Yarrowia lipolytica: one gene and its partner. The main gene of each other region encodes a partner of the protein of the gene in region 2 in a complex. Links are inferred from orthologs where the notes say so. Each region holds a gene or a part of one and is shown on either strand. Other genes may lie near its edges. The genes, in order: YALI1_F29937g and YALI1_B14238g.

The links.
Region 1: the proteins of YALI1_B14238g (region 2) and YALI1_F29937g are in contact, whole or in part, in a crystal structure (PDB 5ERG), measured with the Saccharomyces cerevisiae proteins. The link is inferred for Yarrowia lipolytica from reciprocal best matches to the Saccharomyces cerevisiae genes GCD10 and GCD14. Residues at the interface, in NP_014337.3 of Saccharomyces cerevisiae: Met1, Leu4, Thr5, Phe9, Arg16, Asn44, Asp45, Ile46, Ile47, Gly48, Tyr49, Pro50, Phe51, Gly52, Leu53, Leu85, Glu194, Tyr195, Ser197, Ser198, Ser199, Gln219, Glu220, Gly223, Met224, Leu226, Asn227, Leu228, Asn230, Ile231; in NP_012410.1 of Saccharomyces cerevisiae: Phe6, Ser7, Gly8, Tyr9, Lys10, Asp11, Trp22, Arg25, Pro55, Tyr56, Gly57, Ser58, Gln59, Ala61, His74, Leu76, Gln77, Thr79, Pro80, Glu81, Leu82, Leu85, Thr96, Pro97, Ser100, Tyr101, Met103, Gln104, Arg105, Asn107.

What each region holds. Positions count from the first base shown.
Region 1 is NC_090775.1:2,988,471-2,998,282, forward strand, and holds YALI1_F29937g (uncharacterized protein), read right to left. Parts: upstream 5,270-9,812; coding exon 4,100-5,269; downstream 1-4,099. Other genes in the region: YALI1_F29876g (uncharacterized protein), read left to right, coding at 1-413; YALI1_F29905g (uncharacterized protein), read right to left, coding at 1,002-2,084; YALI1_F29911g (uncharacterized protein), read left to right, coding at 2,729-3,910; YALI1_F29944g (uncharacterized protein), read left to right, coding at 5,989-7,971. UniProt on the Saccharomyces cerevisiae protein: Catalytic subunit of tRNA (adenine-N(1)-)-methyltransferase, which catalyzes the formation of N(1)-methyladenine at position 58 (m1A58) in initiator methionyl-tRNA.
Region 2 is NC_090771.1:1,422,423-1,432,448, reverse strand, and holds YALI1_B14238g (uncharacterized protein), read right to left. Parts: upstream 8,649-10,026; coding exon 7,173-8,648; downstream 1-7,172. Other genes in the region: YALI1_B14308g (uncharacterized protein), read right to left, coding at 666-1,601; YALI1_B14292g (uncharacterized protein), read left to right, coding at 3,168-5,102; YALI1_B14268g (uncharacterized protein), read left to right, coding at 5,618-7,120; YALI1_B14236g (uncharacterized protein), read left to right, coding at 8,825-10,026. UniProt on the Saccharomyces cerevisiae protein: Substrate-binding subunit of tRNA (adenine-N(1)-)-methyltransferase, which catalyzes the formation of N(1)-methyladenine at position 58 (m1A58) in initiator methionyl-tRNA.

The DNA of each region.
Region 1 (9,812 bases), on a different chromosome or scaffold from region 2:
AGGACCCCCTTACCCGATTCGTCAAGTCTCTGTACATTGACTACTCCTTTGAGGATGCCCAGAACCAGCTTGCTGACTGTGAGAAGGTGCTGAAGCAGGACTTCTTCCTCGCTGACTCCGCTGACGCCTTCCTCGAGTCTGCCCGAAAACTTATGTCCCAGGTCTACTGCCGAGTTCACCAGCGAGTTGACATTGCTCAGCTGTCTCAGACCCTCAACCTGTCCCAGGAGCAGGGCGAGAAGTGGATTGCCAACCTCATCAAGGACTCTCGAATGGACGCCAAGATTGACGAGAGCGACTCCACCGTCATCCTCAACCACCCTTCGGTGTCGGTCTACCAACAGGTCATCGAGAAGACTAAGGGGCTGACCTTCCGGTCTTCCCAGGTTCTCAACCAGGGAGTTACCATCTAGACAGCCCCGGGGCTGTTTTTGTTTAAGGTGTTGCGGTCGGCTTAGACTGCAGTGGGATAGCATTAGAAGGAAAATGTATGAAATAGAATGAGTGTATTGGCTTACTATGAGTAAAAGCAGAGTTTAGCTGGGATTTTTCCGCAGATTATATAACTACTGTATGTACTGTATGTAAGTACTGTCCTTGTATTGTGTTCAACCATGCATTAACACGTTCCATGCCGACAACGTGGATGTCTGACAGATCTCTCAATGGGCTGTCTGAATGAACTGGAAATAGGGACTCGATACTGAGCAAGTGAAACCTCAGTTTGGCGTCCCAACGACCCCAACAAATTCCGTGGCTGCTGGGGGCCGTATTTAGTTTGCCATGGTATGATATTCAAAGACAAGAACGCGTGCTTCAAAACCACAGGGTACAAGTACATGAACTTGTAGCTACACTCTTACTATGAGAACTCTCGTTCTTCAAGTTCCGTAGATTTGTTCTAGAAATCAATATTGTATAAAGTCAGAATAATATGTTTATATGTGACTGCAAGGCAAATGCAGCGTCTAGTCAATAGATATGGAGCGCCAATGGCTAGTTTAGGCCTTCTTTGCCTTCTTGTCGTCGTCGCCGAAGTGTTCCTTGCTGACGGGATCAACGTCGATGATGTGGTCAGTGACGTCCTCCATCTCCGTGTTCTTGGGGGCAGGGGCGCTTAGAATAACAACGTCACTGGACTCGGGGAAGAGAGTCTTAGCGGGTCGAACCTCGAGTCGGTAGTGGAACTCGTTGTCAGCTTCAGTGTAGTGGGAGGCAAAGGGATCGAAGGATGCATCGTGGGTCAGAACAACATCAACAACACCAATAACCTGCTGCTTGGGCTTGCCCTCAATGGACTTATCGAGCAGCAGCTCCTCGAAGGCAATCATCTCCTCTCGGCCGGGCAGGTTGTCAAAGGGGTTCTCAGTATCAATCTTAGTCTGTCGGGGATAGAGCATGGAAGACTGGGAGATTCGTCCAGTAGGATCAAGGGTCAGAGACTGGCCGTTTCGAGACATGGCAAAGGGGTCTACCTTAAGGATAGAATTGATATCTCGCTCATCATCGTTGATAGCCTGGTGAATTCGGTTCACGCACACTCGGTTGAGTTTCTGCAGATCAAGGGGACCCTTGGTCTTGTAGACGAGAGACTGCTGGGCCATGCCGACCCATCGCTGGTTCATGACACCAATCTGAGAAGATGCGATTCGAGAACGGAACCACAGCATGAGCAGAAGGAAGGGAGGTACAATGATGAACAGAATGGGCATGGTAATGAACAGGGCACAGTTGAAGAAGAAGAGAGCGAGGCCGAAGAACTTGATCCAGGGAGGAGTCACGTTCCAGGCAATGGAGAAGGGTCCATGCTGAGAGTACTTCTGTTTCAGGTTGGGGTTTTCCTTGTTGTTCATCTTCACCTGTCTGGCGGTTCGTCCGGACGAGAACTGTCGGGAGAACTTGTTGAGCTGGGCCATGACATTGACCTTCTTGTTGGCGACACGGGAGGTGGTCTGTCGAGAGAAAGCTCGGGCAGTCTGAGAGACGGTGCTAGGAGCAGCAGTCTGGAACGAGGAGAATGCAGCAATTGAGCGGGGCTTAGCGACGCCCAATGGGGTCACTCGCAGTGAACGGAGCAGAAGCATTGTGTTGTGTGAGGGGTGGTTAATGTCTCGTTTCTGGGAGGTGGATCAAAGCTTTAAATATAAGAGCCGAGAGAGCAGATTGCTAAGGCGTGGGGAGAGAATTAGAATTTTGGGTTCGGATTTGGGCGGTTTCTAAAGAGGCTAGTTAATGCATTTTGTAGGTATCCTAATGAGACACAGAAAAGTCTCACCTTCATTGCTAGTCAGTGGGGAACCGCACGTTGGTTTTTTTTCTCTCTTGCTCCTACATTGCGTGCAGTAGAAGAGGTCTCGTTTACAACCGCCTCGCCTTAAAAGTGTTCATAAACTCCCAAGACGAGAAACTTCCAACTGTGCAGCTATCATGTTTGGCAAGCGATGAGCGAGAGGAAGGATTGAGACCCTGTGTGGCGTTTGTGGCGGTGTAGTTATTGGGGGGATATAAGTGAGTTGCAGTGAGCAGTTTGTGGCAAAGAGTGATTTTGCGAGAATCGTTCCAGAAGAAACAACATAACACACGATTTAGATTTTGATTTTTCCTGCTTGTTGCAATGTTTTCTCTCCACCCTCTTAGTGCTGCCTTTAGTTAACCTCGTCTGCAGCCCTTAGCCGGATCAAATTTAGATCGTCTCTTCACACACCTCCTCCTACGTGTATCACACATTATGGCGCCGCAAGGACGGAAGGGACAGGCTTCCGGGCAGAAGTCAGATGGTGCGAAAAGAACTCGAGCCACTAGAAGGAGTGTGGATCGAAATAATCACGTCGATCTGAAGAATGGTCAGATTACACCCAAGATCGAGGATGAGGTCGACAAGGGTGAAAAATCCGAAGAACAGTCACAAGACGAGAACGGCAACGAACCTGCCACCAATGAAAGTATCCCAGAGGATGATTCGGAACCTGACTCCGAGGAAATCCCTTCTGGTGAGTCATCTCCAGATAATAGTGCTGACGAGTACATGGAGGATAGTGAACCAGAGAAGAGTAACGAGGATATTTCTGAGCCAGCAACTAAGAAAAGCAAGTACTTTGCCGATTCTGATGATGAAGAAGAGACTGATATACCCACTTCCCATATACCTTACTCCAACATGGCTCTACACCCTAACTCGCTGTCCTTCATTCAAGTCCTAGAAAAGAACAATAATCGAGAGTGGTTCAAATCACATGATGCCGAGTTCAAAAAGGCCAAACAAAACTGGGACACTTTTATCCTTTCCTTGGCAGCTTTGTGCCACAAGAACCACCCCGAACATGTGCCTGCTGAGATTCCTCTCATCAAGCTGCAGTTTCGAATCCATAGAGACATGCGATTCTCAAACGGACTGCCCTACAAGCCTCGTTGGATGGGTGGATTCAGTCCTACCGGATGCAAAGGTATATTCCCAAAATACTTCCTTGTCGTCTGGCCCTCTCATGTGGTCGTGGGGGCTGGATACAGCGCCATGGGAGATGCTGATGTCGGTCCTAAGACGTTGAAAGGACTCAAGGATGAAATTCAGGAAACTGAGGGCGAATGTATTGCTAAGATCCTTCGAAAGGTGCAAAAGAAGTCTGCTGGTCTGGTATTCAAAAGCAGATTCGATGATGCAGAAGGTCTCATGAAGGAGTTTCTGGAAATGAATGTGACTGAGAACATGTACAAATACGTTCCCAAGGGCTATGACGCTGAGTCTCCCGCTGCTGGATTACTTAAGTTGAGATCTTTCGTGATTAAAATCCAGCTGGAGACTACAGTGGTGATGGAAAAAGACGGCGCCCAGATCATGGCCAGCTACTTCAAGTTCCTGATCCCGTGGGTCAAATTTCTTAGCAAGTACTTTCCTCCAGGCCGGGGTGGCTAACTGTATATATGTGATGGAATAGATTTCGTTTTGAATGATTCTACATGTGCGATAGCACAGGTTTGTCTTTCAAATTGTGACTTCCTGACAGGACCAGATGCATTTTGGCTACAATGTGAACATGTATGTACTTATTCTAATAATATTAACCGTCCTATGTATCCTAACTATCCTCATTCGCCCGATCTCCTATGCTTCAGTCCTGGCAGGGGCCTCAGTGGCCTCAGTGGAAGCCTCAGCACCCTCAGTGGAAGCCTCAGGGCATCGCTCGCTGTATGGTCGAACACACATGTCCTTGTCGAATACCTCTTCGCCCAGCTTTGGCAACCTGCTGGCGAACAGCAGGTACGAAGTATGCGACTTGATCTCCTGCTCACACTTGGACACCTCGGTCCATTCAAAGCTCTCATCTCCCTCCTTGATCTTCTGGCCCTTACCCCAGGGGTTGTATCCTCTGTGACCCGACTCGGTCTTGGACCGCTTGGCATCTCGCTCATCCGACTCTTCCTCCTCCACTCCAGTTTCAGTTTCGACCTTGATTCGAGCATTTCTCTTAGCCAGACCGGTCTCTCGTCGGGCTTTGACGTCTCTAAGGCGAGTGATAGCCTCGTCCAGAGACCGCTTCATCTCCAGTCGTGACTCCCATCGCTTAGCAGCAACCTCTACCATCTCAATATCGACCCAGCCGGCTTCTTGCAGAGCCTGGACTGCCTTGACAACCTGCTCGAAGCAAGGCGAGAAACAGCACACTCGAGAGACAACTGATCGGTCAATAACTCGCTCGAGATGGGGAATAGCGGTCCAAGGGGCAGGAAGGTCGAGGAAAACGGCAGTGGCATTGACGTCGATGTTCTCAATGTCAAAGCCGTCGTTGCACACATCCCGATGCGTGGGGATCACGTTGGTCAGCTGATGACGCTCAAACTCCTGCTTGGCCAGATTGTATCGCTCCTCATGAAACTCGTACGAGTAAACCTTGCCGGCGAGGCCTGCAGATCGACTGATAGCGTGTGTGAAGGAACCAGAACCAGTGCCAGACTCAATCACAGTCGATCCAGGTCGAATCTTGAGACGCTGAACAATGTACGATGAGTCGGTGGTGTACACAATCTGGGTACGGTGGGGCAACGAGAGAGTCCATAGCTCGGGAGTAGGGTGAATCAGATGAATGAAGCCCTGCTTCGACATGCTTCCAAGCTGAGCTCCATACTTGTCCATGTTGCGGTGAGGGAAGGCTCCGTATCGGGTGTTGAAGAGCCCTTCCTTCTTTTCAACCACAATGGGCTTGATGGCGGTACGGGTCATCCACCCGAGTACCAGATCTCCATCCTCGATCGTGTCCTTGTATGCCGAAAACATTGTGTGTGATTGTGGAAAAGTTCAAAATATTTTTTGGAATTTTCACTTTTAGAGTTAACCTGCATGGCAAAGGTGAATTGATGAGTGACGATTGAAGCGATAGAATCATGCAAAAACTGAAGAAAAGGATCGATATTGGGATGGGAAGGAATTATTGATACTTTCAGAGTACTTAGGAAAAAGTTTCAGCTATACGTGAGTGACTTTATAGTACATCCACTGTGTTATTGCGTCTTATCAACTGTTCCACCTCACAGCATCAGGACAACTCGTACAAACCTCCCAACTCAAACTGTTGATAATGTACAGTAGCTCTGAGTCGAAGGAGGTTCTGTCTCTACAGAGTGATTAAGTGGGATTGCCAGATATTCGCTACCCATGGGGTATCAAATTGTAGCTAATGAATGGATGAAGTTATTCTAACGCCATTCACCACCACCAGGAACCATCAGCGAACGACAGACGCACATAAAGATTTTTAACGGGGCAGCAGATAAATAAGGACACAGATTTAGGAATCTATAGAATATTCTCTAACAACTCCAAATTGTCAACAAATTCTCTCACATTCCGGGCACAGTGCCAGCTACTTGAACCACCTACTGTACCACCTCTCAATCGCAGTTTCGAGGTTCACAAAAATCTATTAGAGTTCATGCACAAGAAATTATTTTATTTGCATCTTGCAAATCACACACACCAACACACCATCACACGACATGCCTCCTCTAACCGAACCGTTTGTCCTGTGCGACCTGCCCCAAAGCTCGCTGACCGTGGCCGACAAGGTGGCTGTGCCCGGCCGAAGCGCAGGATCCCAGTATCTGCTGGGAATTAGCCACTCCCAGGCTGCTCTCTACGAACTCACCCCAAGCCCTCGATCTGTGTGGACTCACTTCCTGTCCTTGACCCAGGCCGTGTGCGCCATCACCCAGTATGCTCCTAGCACGAAGACTGGTGTTGTCTACGTCTCGATCCGGGACCGGAAAAAGTTTTTTGTCGAGCGTGTCGAGCAATGCGTTGACTCCGAGGACGGAAACAAGAGCGCTCTGACTCTGTCAGAGGCTGCGGTGGCTGTTGGGACCAGCTCCGATGATTCTAGAATTTACCTGGTGACCGAGTCTGGCCACGTTAAGGTCGCTCCAGTGTCTCTGTTTGGTCAGGCTGGCTCCGGAGACAAGATCCCCACCCTGTTTGATGCTGGAGCCAAGCAGATCACTGAGTACTCTCTGTTCATGCCCGATAGCCGTACTGACGAGTTCAGTGACGGTCTTGTTGTGCTTGTTCTCGGCTCCCGAGACTCGTACCGAGCCGTTCTGCTGGGTCTCAAGTCGTCTGGATGCGTCGTTCTTGCTGACAAGGTTCTCAAGGATATCGCTACCGACTCTAAGCCTGCGTTCTCTGCCGTCGACAATGTCCTATCGTGCTTCTCAAACACCACTCTCTACAGCTTTGCCCTCCCCTCTCTCAAGGTGACCACCCAGATTGAGCGACCTGAGGGTGTGTCTGGTAATTCTTCAATTCTGGCAATTGACTCTCGAACTACACTGCTGTCTTCCAACGACAAGCTCACACTCGTCGATACATACTACGAGTCTATTGTAACCGAGGTTGATGCGTCCCAGCTCTCTCTGCTGTCCTTCTATCCCGATACCCAGACTGTTCTTGGTGTGCAGCCCCAGAAGGGTGGCTTCTGTGTCTCCGGTGTCACTGTCGATCTCTCTTCAGGCTCTTCTCTGCTCGACTCTGTTGCTCGAGGACAGGGTTTGCAGACTTCTGCCACCCGAGAACAGCAGCGACAGCACGACTGGAGAATGTCCAACATCCACATGGCCAAGACTTACCGATTAGAGAGTGACTTTGCCAACCTATCTGGCTATGATGTGGTGGTCAAGGCTGCTAAGAAGTCTCAGAAGCAATCTCAGGCTCTGATGGAGACCCTTAAGGCCTCGCAAGGTGCTGCATTCGATTCTGCTCTGCTCAAATACATGAAGCACAAGAAGTGGCTCAAGCAAAATCCCGACCTGGCTTTCACCGTGTACGAGGAGCGAGATGATGCCCAAATTGATAACTTCCTGATGGACCAGATTTGTTCCCTGTTGTTCGACAACTATGAGGACTCTGAGCCTGTTCTTAAGGCCGATCCTCCCGTCAAGGCTCTCACCTACCTTCTCACACACTCTCTTTTCCCCACGAACCGATTCCCCAACCTGTTGGACACATTTGAGTCTCACCCTTTCCTGCAGCGTCAGGCTCTGGTGAACGCCCCTGCCCTCCCTTGCTCCACCCTGGTCAAGGCTCTGGCCTCTTCTGTGTCTGACGAGATTGTCAACGATGCCGTCGTTCGACTGCTGGAGGAGTTCCGACCCACCGAGGTTACCAAGACCATCCGAAAGGAGATCTCCAACCTCAACGGTCTGGTGGAGCGACTGCAGAAGATGGACGCTGGCTGGGCTCTGATTCCCTGTGTGATTGATGCTGGAGGACTGCTAGGATGGAACCTAGAGACCATTCAGGAGCTAAAGAAGTCGCTCAAGAGCGAGCTACAGACCCAGACCGAGTCTGCCCAAACCGTTGCTATGGTGGACGCCCTCAAACTTCGAATGATGGCTCAGGAGCGAGTGGCAATGCGAGAGCAGTACATTGAGAAGGGAGATGACAAGTTGGATGCTAGTTACGTGGTGGAGAAGTTGCATATTTGAAGGACTATACATACAGACCTATGACATTAGAGGATGTTTGATGAGAGTATCTGTGGGTTTGTGCTGCAGTGCTCAGGCTAGTTAGAGGTATAGAATGAAAACTATTATATTTGATTGATCGTTGAAGTTATGGTAGACATACTGTCGCTACATGATAATTAATACGATTCCAGTAGACGGTATTGCAAGTACTTGTTCGATACTGCCTATTGTACATACTGGTGTGTATGCAGTACATACTGCACTTTTACAATGGGATATATTTCAGTATATACTGTACAGCAGAAATCTGGAGCCCCTGACAGTTACCAAAAGTTATTAATGACCTCACGTAGCCCGTTATTTGTCCATGAATAAATTAAAATAAATACATTCGCGCTCTGAGCATGTCCAGACACACCCGATCAGCGAAACTGCTTTTTATACTGAATGAAAATCTCCTGTGTTAGCCATTTCCTCTTATAAGTAAACATCCCATGCTAAAAAATAAAAATAAAAATCATTTATCTTGTACTCACGGCCAAAGCAGCAGGCTCCACCGATCCGTCCTTGCACATTTCGTAGCATATTCGGAGACCCTCGTCATCCAGCGGCACATCCAGCAGCCGCGCCATTTCCTTGAGAACCTCCAGAATCTTCTGTTCCTTCTCCATTACCAGATGCAGAGGTGCCAGTCGACGATGAGGTCGATGAATATACGGAACGCGTCGTGATATAAGTTGGTGTTTAAGGTTCTTCAGCAGAGAAATGGCGACATAAGGTTGGTGAAGCAAAGCGTTAAACGCAATGGAAGTAAGGAACAGAGATGGGTAAACAATAACAACTTGTTTTGATCGTCGAGTGGAGATTTTGGAAATGTACGAGAAGCCATAAAGATGATGTGACACCAATGATGTGATTATGGAATCAGCGAACTAATTATGGCATTTGTGTACTCGTACCGTACTTGTACGATGATAAAGTTCAGGCCAGGCCCCTGGTAAGATATCGTGGTTTGGGGGCCATCTGACTGACTAGAGATTGTTAACGCCGATAGGTTGTATGCGTTACAAACCTCATACAGTAACTGTCTTGTGAGCTCGTCGGTGGAAATATGAAACACCCACTACAAGTAACAGTAATTCTGAACTAGGCTAATAGTGGGGAGCGTAGCTCGGTCGTTCACCGTAACCATGGCAACCGCTGTTTGGGTGTCTGACTTGACACAAGACAGATGAGAAACTCCAGCCACATGTATCAAAAAAACACCGTAGAAGTACCGCTACCCGTGTATCCGGGTTGACCTAAAACTCCCGAAGTTACTTGCGGTTTGTTTGGCGGGGTCGTCGGGTTGCTCTGGATTACCAGCAGTATGCATGAGACTGATGTTGAGTGGTGTATCGTACGAGTACATACTCATGGTACAGCACCGATACTACTTGTAGTACAAGTACAATGTACCAATTGTTTACTTGTAGCGGTATACGAGTATGTACTTGTAAAAGTGAACCCCTTCGCCATTCCACGACGTTTCTGTGTCATGTGTTCCATTCGCACAAGTACCACTACAAGTACAGTATGTACAGTATGTAGGTGCTTGTAATATGTAGCGTTCCATTCTGACTGTGTAATGTCTGCCTGTATCAAACGAGTTGAAACAACAAACTGATCTGGACTCCATGAAATATGCACCTAAATTGCACTGAATTTTCTTGTAATATATCGTATGTACTGTAGGTCAGTCTAGATCTTGTATGGAACCTCACCTCACGAACTCGCTTTATTTGGTGCAGTTTCGCCAGGTTGAAATGGGATATCAATGGCGGTATATGAGAGGTAAAGGTACAGTAAGAGTAGCATCA
Region 2 (10,026 bases):
ACTATTGGACAAATTGAAAGTTTAGTTTTTTGAGTAAGCGTGAGCAGGGCTGTTGGTGTAGTGGTAACATATCTGCCTTCCATTCAGTTGTAAGCAGGTGCCAGGGGTTCAATTCCCCTACAGCTCAAAATTTTTCGGTTTCTGTATTAGCCTGACATTCAAATGACGAATACTCCCTCGTTACAGCAGTAATACTTTTTTTTTTTTTTATTAAATGTCTATCTACTTGTAGTTGTAGACAACCTGTGACCATGCTGCTGTTCCGATGAAAATACGAAGATATCTCATCAGGCTGGTGTCAAGGCTATCAGACTACAAGTTCTCATAGTTTACGGGCATCATATTGAACAAGCAAGAAGCCGACTGGTGTTTTTCTTCGACATCATACAATTAATTATTTGTAGATCCCGTTATTTACATACTGCGGAGCCACAAGTGGAACCCCTTTCACCATTATGGTCGGGATTCACATGGTGTTAGCGTTAGGCCTCCCGACGACACTTGTGCATGTCTAATCAGCGGACGTCTTTCATGAAGAGATAGTACTGTACTTGTAGTGTGAGTCCAATTAGCGGAGCCCGGGAGGGAGAAGTCCGTTATTGTAATTTGTGACATGTTGTTACCTGAGGTATGAATGACAGATGTGGTGGAAACCTCCATCGCGCTCACGGGGAGAAGGGGTATCCCATACCGATCCGGCCTTCAGTAAAAATCCAGCTCTCCGTCTTGAAAAGGTCTAGTTGCGAAACTCGGAGCTCTCCCCCTGGATCGCAAGCTAGCATCCAGATGTGCCGGTTTCTAAGCAAGAAACGACGTCCCCCACGACGACTAGGACAATGGATGGCGTGGCTCTTTGTCTGACATAGTTTGACAATCTTGCGTGTTTGGAAATCCCCGTAGAACAGTTCATTCACGCGATCTTCTGGCCCGCCTAGGTCCGTGACAAAGAAAACGATGTGCTCGCTTTCTGTGCTGCATTGCATGAGGGTCTCATAGCAGAAGATCGTACCACATGGTATTTGGGTGGCAGTTCGAGTGTGAATAAGTATTGATTCGCCTCTGATGACTCTCTTGTTGTTCGTGTTCAAGTTAAGGGTGCTTGCAGGGATGAGCCCATCCCACTGCACTTTCTTTATATGTATTTGAACTACCCAAGAGCCATCCTTGGTCTTACACACTTCTCCAGGCCAGTAGATGTGAAGGAACCCATCCACCAGTAGCGGTAATTTGAAGGACTCGTCCTCAAACTTATGAACCTCATAATCGCCCACTCTGGTGACGTCATGGCCATGGATATTGGTATCACTCCTCATGTCCTGTCTAAGCTGATCTGCGAGGAGCTCGGCTGCTTTCAACCTTTTGCGCTGGCGGGGTAACTCCGGGTCGGTAATATACCTCACTAGCGAAAGTAATGTGCTGTTCGTTGGAACTGTGAGCCATGGGTATAAGGAGAGGGCATCGGAGGTATTTAGATAGGAGTCTGCCACTCGACGAAATGTGTGGCAAACGGCGGCGAAATTCGCAACATCTTTCAGGGGTACGTGTTCAAGAACAATCAGAAGGATCTCGGGCGGCAGTATTGTCGACACTTTGCTGTTCATGTGCGGTCTCAATTGTGACACCAATATGGGAACCGTATGTTTACAAGTACTTATCAAGTGATGTGATCAGGAATAAGGTTTCAACCTATCTGAAGTTTGGGACGCAACGTACAAGTACATACTGTAGTATTTGTCGAAAAATCGACTTATGTTCACCATTCCACTGTTTACTTGTGCTGTGTTTACAGATACAATATATCGTTATGTTGTGTCACCGTATCCTATGACAAGAAAAAACGCGGGGCTATCGTCACGCGCGCTCTGGTGTGTTGAGAACCAAAATGCAGACAAAGACAACGTGCCTACTTGTAGGGTACCATGACGCAAGACTCCATCTCGCTTATGTGCCCCTCGCGCTGTACGCGCTCTAACGCATTTATTTCGCGTATCGGACCCCGAAAGCAGACCTCGGCCATTGTATTGTCGTAGTTCGATTTTTAGCTGCTTTTCAGCACAGTAAAACACTCGTTGGCTCAACAAAGCATAGGGCCAACATTCCCTGACTACAAGTAGCCTAGCTCAACGAGGTAGCTACATTCCCGAGTATCCACTGTTTGTCTCTCAGCATCTATTAATTCTTGAAGGAGAGGCACTATTATAGCTACAGTACTGAAAGATGGGTTCCACAAGTACAGTCCGATAGCCCAGTTCTTTACTGCGCCCACAATCGGCATATTGTGGACCTAGGATCTAAACACCTTCTACAAAGATTACAGTAGATAGATGGATACATGAGTGAACCATCAGGTCCCGTATATGTTACAGTACAGTATATTGAGAAATCGCACCACCGGAAAGCCTTTGTCTGCCCACCATTGTATTTTCAATGGGAAGAGCGGGGCGACTTGTTATTGCAATAGCTGTTGATAAAGAATGCTCTTTTATATCTATTACTTGTACTGGTATGTAATGTGGATGCACACATACAACATGAGGATTCTCTTCACCAGATCACCGGGGAATATTTATCTAAAGATGTTTCCTTTCAACCTATGGACGGCCTGGTTGTTATTCGATATCTTGACCTCCGTAGTGGCCATTTTCGTCGGAAGCTTAGGCCTCCTCGAGTCGGTGATAGTAGCCGACAGTACGTAAATAACAGAGTCCTCTTTGCACCATCTACGTACAAGGGAGGACAAAGCTTTTCTGGAGGCACTAAAAAAGGCTGTGGGGTATGTTTGGACTCACTCATACTCCAATAAATCTGTCCGAACGGCTCCAGACTGTTAAAGAGAGTGATCGGTTGTTATTCAAATGTCGCCGTGAACCAAGTTGGCCCCATGATTTACAAAGCCTTGTAGATTAAGCGTAGAGAAGGCTTTCACAACTTCATTATCTTTTGCGAACCCTCACCGCCAGTAGCGACTTTTAAAAAGCGATACATCATTAGGGGTACTCGTTCTTTATCTGCAACATGCCGCTCCTACATTTCTGTGACCAGCCACTAGCTAGCCACTAGATCATAATGAATGTCAATGTTTACATCACACGGTTTACATCATACGGTAATATATAAGAGTATCGAGTGTGCCCGGAAGGGAGGCAGACTGCCACGCTCGTTCAACAATGAAGCTATCATCAATTGCCATTTTCTCGGTCGCCTCCTCTACCCTGGCAACTGCCTACGTCCTCAGATGGGGTGCCCTGATCAATCCCATCAAGGATGCCATTATTTCGGGTGTGATTAATGGTCGACACCAAGATATCCCCGAGGCACAGGCAAGCTCGGAAATTAATGAATTTGTTCCTCTCATCATGAATGATGACCTGCTTCCTCTGTTCGACAATGCCGTTGATATTCTTCTTTCTCCCACATTTGAACAGAAGTTCCCTGACTGGATCAGCAGTGTTATTGCTGCCCTCGAAAAATATGAGCAAAGCCCCGACTTCACCTCTGCTACTTCACTTCTCTCAGAGTATCTGCCGCATTACGATTACCACGAAGCAGTAAACCAGGCCAGTATTACGCTAGCGAAGTCGGCCGACGGTTGGAACATCCTGAAGGCTGCGGTGCTTTCTATCTCAACCAACCCCGCCGCATCCAAGGCCATTGATGATGGACTCTTTGCTGTCACTGGTTTGATCTGTACGCTCCAGCTTACTGATGGATCTGTTTGCGACCCATACAAGACCGAGGATCCTGTTGTTCCTGCTTCAACCAGCGAGCCTGCTGTTTCTACTTCGAGCAGCGAGCCTGCTGTTTCTACTCCGAGCAGCGAACTTGTTGTTTCTACTCCGACCATCGAGTCTGAAGTCCCAGTTTCGACCAGTGAGCCCGTTGTGCCCGCGTCGACCAGCGAGTCTAATGCCCCCGTGGTGTCCTCTAAGGATGTTACTCCTGTCGAGTCCCCTACACCCATTACGACTACCAAGTCTGAAGACAACGTTGCATCGGGACTTGCCCCCGAAGAGCCCATTACTCCCATTGGGTCGTCTAAGCCCGTTACTACTGTCAAGTCTGAAGATCCCGTTGCATCTGGACTTGCCTCCGAAGAACCTATTACTGCCGAGTCCCCCCTGTCTAGTGCCTCTGGTCTGGCTTCCGGGGAGGCTTCTGTATCTTCTGACACACCTGTCTCTGCAAGCGCTAACACTGACGATACTAGCCCTCAGACCTCTGGTGTCTCCTCTTCCGGTACTCCGGAGACTGTCGCTCCCACCTCTGCACCTTCTTCAGCGTCCATCTCTAGTGCTGCTGGTGTTACGAACGGCACTGTTTTTGGGTCCTCTGAGCCGCCTACTCCCACAGTGACTAATAATACCAACAGCAGTGTAGAGAGTCCTGCTACCGCTCTTGTTAACTCTAGCCTCACATTGACCGTGACTCAATGTGACACCGAGGGACGGTGCATAACACCCACTCTGACAATCGTTACAGTTGTTCCCAAGAACGCCCCTTCCACTGTTATCAAGACTGTTTGTCCTAAGTGCGAGGGGAAGACCGTGGAAATCACCGTTCCTTGTGCTCGTGAGACCACTGACGCTTCACAGGACGAGAAGTCTTCCAAGCCTGACAAGGCGGACAAATCTGACAAGGCGGACAAGTCTGACAAGGCGGGCGAATCTGACAAGACAACGAAGACTGAGAAGACAGACAAAACCGGGAAGACAGAGGAGACAGAAGAGGCTGAGAAGGCCGATAAGACCCATGAGTCTGGTTCTTCTGATATGACTGACAAGACTGAGAAAACTGACAAGACTGAGAAAACTGACAAGACTGAGAAAACTGACAAGACCAAGAAAACTGACAAGACTGACAACTCTGAAACCCCTAAGAAGTCTGAAACCCCTAAGAAGTCTGATAACGATAGCTCTCCAAACAAGCCCGGATCATCAAACGACTCATCCAACAAGCCCACCAACACCGGCGCTGCTGATAAGCCTTCAAACGGAGGATCTGCTGAGCCCAAGCCAGTTGCCCAGGCCAACTCAGGCTCAAAGTTGGTCATCTCGGTCGGCGCACTACTTGCTGGAATTCTGGCTCTCGTTGCTTTATCGTAGCTCTAACTGTTTATAAACAATATATGTGAGATTAATGTATTCGTGCTGTGATGGTGTTGTCCATCACAAATATGGGTATCGTTGTACTTGTAGTTGTGAGTGTCTCTTGGAACCAAGCTGCTCAATTAGTTTCGGGAGGAGTACATAGTGGAAGGAGGGAATGAATGTCTTGCATACGTCATTTCCTCCTTCCGCATAGTGTATCAAGAAGTAGTAGTGTAAAGATAAGATATCGTTCAGTAGTACCGTACTTTTTCACCTTGAAAGAAGGCAAACAAAACAAAACATTATCAAGACAACCATTATATAACTGCTCGTACCGTACTGCTCCATTTACAAGAATGAAGACACAATAAAAAAACACTCCTGCGCCCATGTCTCAAGCAGTCCACTTCTGACATGCACAACTCAATGTCCAAATGACTCAAATAACCGAAAATGACTCGCATGACTCTCCTGCTTGAGTCACCACCTCTCAACAAATCAACAACAGGCACATCCGAAAGTCATTGGAAATGGATATCGCTACCTGGAAAGGCGTTGAGAATGGGAAAGTTCCCATTCCCGAACGAGTACCAGAGCATCCTAAGATGAAGAAGAAGCTCATCTTGAACGCACTGACCGCCAACGCGCCTACTAATGTGAATCAGGGACTATGGAGACACCCTGGACACAAGGGCAAGAATTTCAATGACATTGAGTACTGGGTCGAGCTTGCACAGGTCCTTGAAAGAGGTAAGTTCCATGCCCTGTTCATCGTCGACATTGGAGGCGTCTATGACGTCTACAAGGGAAGTAAGGACCCTGGAATCAAAGCTGGCACCCAATATCCCATCAACGATCCCCTTTACCTCGTGCCTGCGTTGACAATGGTCACCAAGTCTCTGGGGTTTGCTATTACCGCCTCCACTACTTATGATGTTCCATTTGCTCTGGCCCGAAGGTACTCCACTGTTGACCATATATCAAAAGGACGAGTTGGGTGGAACATTGTCACTTCTTTCCTGGAGAGTGGAGCAAAGAATCATGGTAATGATCTTCAAACTCCTCATGATGAACGATATGCCATTGCCAATGAATTCATGGACGTCTGCTACAAGCTGTGGGAGTCCTCCTGGAGGGAAGATGCCATCAAGGCTGACATTGAATCCAACACCTTTGCCGAGCCTACTCTTGTCCGATACATTGACCATAATGAAAAATACTTCAATGTTCCTGGACCTCATATCTGCTCACCATCAGTCCAGAGAACACCATTCCTGTACCAGGCAGGTATGTCCAAAGCTGGACGGGACTTTGCAGCCAAGCATGCCGAGGCCATCTTCTTGCAGGCTCCTTCACCCGAGTACGTCAGATCTTCTGTTGATGACATTAGAAAAACTGCTGCTAACTACGGCCGCGATCCCCAATCGTTGAAGTTCATTCCCTCCATGTTTGTGTGCGTAGCAGAGACTGACGAGGAAGCCAAGGCCAAGTATGACGAGTACTTCTCTTACATCGATCGTGAGGGAGCTCTTGTTTTATTTGGAGGGTGGTTCGGAATGGATCTTGGAATCTACGACGACGACGAGGATCTCAGGAAGGTGGACAATGTCGCCATCAGCAAAGCTATCTCTCAATGGGCCGATTCCAGTAAAACTCCCGATGCCCTGTGGAACAAGGCTCGTGTTGCTGAGGAACTGGCACTTGGTGGACGATCCGACATTGTCATTGGATCCCCTACCACTGTTGCTGACCGTATGGAAGAGTGGATTGAAGTTGGAGACATCGACGGCTTCAACATGCAGTCTGCTATTGTCCCTGGCACTTACATTGATATTGTGGACTTGCTTATTCCCGAATTACAGAAGCGAGGACGTTTCTGGAACGACTACGCCGTCCCCGGTGGTTCCCTCAGAGAGAACATGTATGCTACTCCTGGTGATTCACATCTGAGGTCCCACCATCCAGGTTCGAAATTCTCTTGGAACAAGGATGACCCCTTCCCTCTGGAGTCCCACAAGCGGGCCAAAAGATGATCGTACTTCAAGTTTATAATACATTAATATAAAGCTATGGCCGTCTAAATAATTAGGCGTCAGCATCAGTCTCTAGTTTGGCTTCAGGCTCGGCCGATTGCTCGGTATCAGGTTCCACGGACTCCTCCGACTTGCCCTCAGTTTCCGAAGACTTAGTTTTATCGCCATCCTCTCGCTTTCTCTTTCTGTTTCGCACCTGGGTGGCATTGACCTCCTCGTTAGGGAAAACTCGGGTTCCATGCACAAGGTATCCTCCTCCGCCTCTCGAGGTCATGCTGGGATGCATTCGGCCGAGAATTGTCTGGTACTTTCGAACTCGAGATTCCCAGATAGAGGGAGCAAGAACCCGCAGGTCCTTGAGCATGAGCTGTGACACCTCGGTGACCACCTCCTTGTACTCGGAGTAGACAACCACAGGTCGAGAGCCTCCGATTGCGTGCAATGTTCGGTCCACAATAGAGGCGGGATGCAAAGTAGAAGCCACAATGAGGCCGTCGAAGCCCTGGTTGGCCACCAGATCGTTGACATTCTGAAGCTCCAGCCACCGGTTTCGCTTTCGGAAATATGCTCCTCGGTTTCGAGGCTTCATGGACGCAATCTGTTCGGGGGTCTTCTCAGGCACCTCCTCCTCGCCCTCGGGCTCAAAGAATTGCAGCCAGTTTATGCTTTTGATCATTCGATCCTGGAGCTCTGTGGGCATGGACAGGTACTTGAGAGCGTCGAGGTTGGGGTGCTCGTTCTCGTGGGCAACGACAATAAGGCCCTCTCCAGCCATTCGCTCCATAAGCGCCGCGGTAAGAACACCAGTAGTCTCATCAACAACCAAATACTTGCCTCCAGGTCGAACATTAGCCATACTCAGCAGAAGGGCCAGCATCTCTTGGCTCATGTCCAGCACCTTCTTGTAATCCTTCTCGAGGTAGAAATCGAGCAGCAGGGACGAACACATAGGCTGGGGAGTGAACCGTCGCAGGTACTTTTGCTCTTTTCTTCGCAAATATTTCTCCTTGGAGAAGGCGGTCTTCTTGTGGAACTCGTTGTGGCCCTTGATAACATGGTCGATGATGTCCTTTCCTGACAGCGTTTTCTGTTTCTTCATCTCCTCAATCTCGGCCATTGACAGAGTCTGTGACTCAGAAGTGTCAATAAGCGTCTGGTTGGTCTCCTCGGGTTCCAGCAGCGCTCCCTTGGCTCCCACTACGTAGTCATGGTCGTCCACTCCCTCCTGGATGATCCGCAGTCGTTTGTCTTCCTGGATTTCAAACGTGTAACCGTAGGGCAGTCCTAGGATGTCGTTGACCTGAAACGAGCCGAATTTGCCAATAGAAATGGTCTGGTTGGGAATCAGCTTGACCACTCGGAAGTTTTCCGACGGCAACTTGACCATGCAGTAAGTGTTGGGCTGAATTCGAGGGTTGTCGAAGATGAAGGGTGGCGACTCGGGCTTGGAGCTCTTTCGGTGCACCTGTGTCTGTCTCGCAGAAACGGGCTCCTGCTGCTGAGCCGCGTCTTTCATTTCAACGTCCATGGTAGGCGTATTTTCAGTAAATGTAGGAAGGTGTGATATTGGCCCGTTAGATGTGCTGCAGGATTAGCTTTTTTAGTCGAAAAATTTGGGAGTAGAGTTTGAATTTTTTTAGGACTACATGCACCCAGAAATCAGAGCCCATCTAGCTCACTACTCACTACACACTACACTACACAATGGGTCGACGAGCCAAGAACAAGCAGGGAGTTCCACCTACTCTGGAGGAGCAGACCCAGGGACCCGCTCCCGTGCGAAAAGACAAGAAAAACAAGAAGGATTTCAAGGTAACTAAGCCCGATCGAAAGACTAAAAAGGTGAAGGAGATCCCTCAGCTGCCTGTTGAGGAGGCTGAAGAGGAGCTCCCCGAGGAGGAGGATGACGATGTTGTCCGGGAGAAGATGACTCTGTTCGATGACTCTGATGATGAGGAGATGGACAACGATGAGTTTGATATTGAGGATGGCTCTGATGATGAGGTGTACGACTCTGATGACGAGACCCACCACAAGCCTATGTTCTCTGATGACGAGGGTGATGAGGACGAGCTCAACGCCGCCAACATGGAGGCTATGTCTCGACGGCTAGACGACGAGGAAGAGTCCGACGAAGAGATGGCGGAGGAAGAGCTGATGGAGCTCATGAAGCAGCACCAGAACCCCCGAGCACAGATTCTGCCTACCGCAGAGGCTGCTGCCGCCGAGGCCCAACTGCCTCCGGATCTGCATGTTGTTCGAACCCGAATTCTGGAAATCGTCAAGGTTCTGGAGGACTTCAAGGGTCTGGCCGAGGAGGGCAAGTCCCGAAACGACTACACCACACAGCTGCTCAAGGATATCTGCTCCTACTACGGCTACAACGAGTACCTTGCCGAGAAGCTGTTCAATCTGTTCACTCCTTCTGAGGCTATCGAGTTCTTTGAGGCCAACGAGGTGCCCCGACCCGTCACCATTCGAGCAAACACCCTCAAGACTCGACGACGAGACCTTGCCCAGTCTTTGGTCAACCGAGGTGTCAACCTGCAGCCCATTGGAAAGTGGACCAAGGTTGGACTGCAGATTTTCGACTCTGCCGTGCCCATTGGAGCAACCCCTGAGTACCTGTGTGGTCACTACATTTTGCAGGCTGCCTCTTCTTTCCTGCCCGTCATGGCAATGGACCCCCAGGAGGGCGAGCGAGTGCTCGACATGGCAGCTTCTCCCGGAGGAAAGACCACCTACATCTCTGCTCTGATGAAGAACACAGGTATGGTTTTCGCCAACGATGTTTCCAAGCCCCGAATCAAGTCTCTGATTGCTAACATCCACCGTCTGGGTTGTAAGAACACCGTGGTCTGCAACTATGACGCCCGAGAGTTCCCCAAGGTGATTGGAGGCTTCGA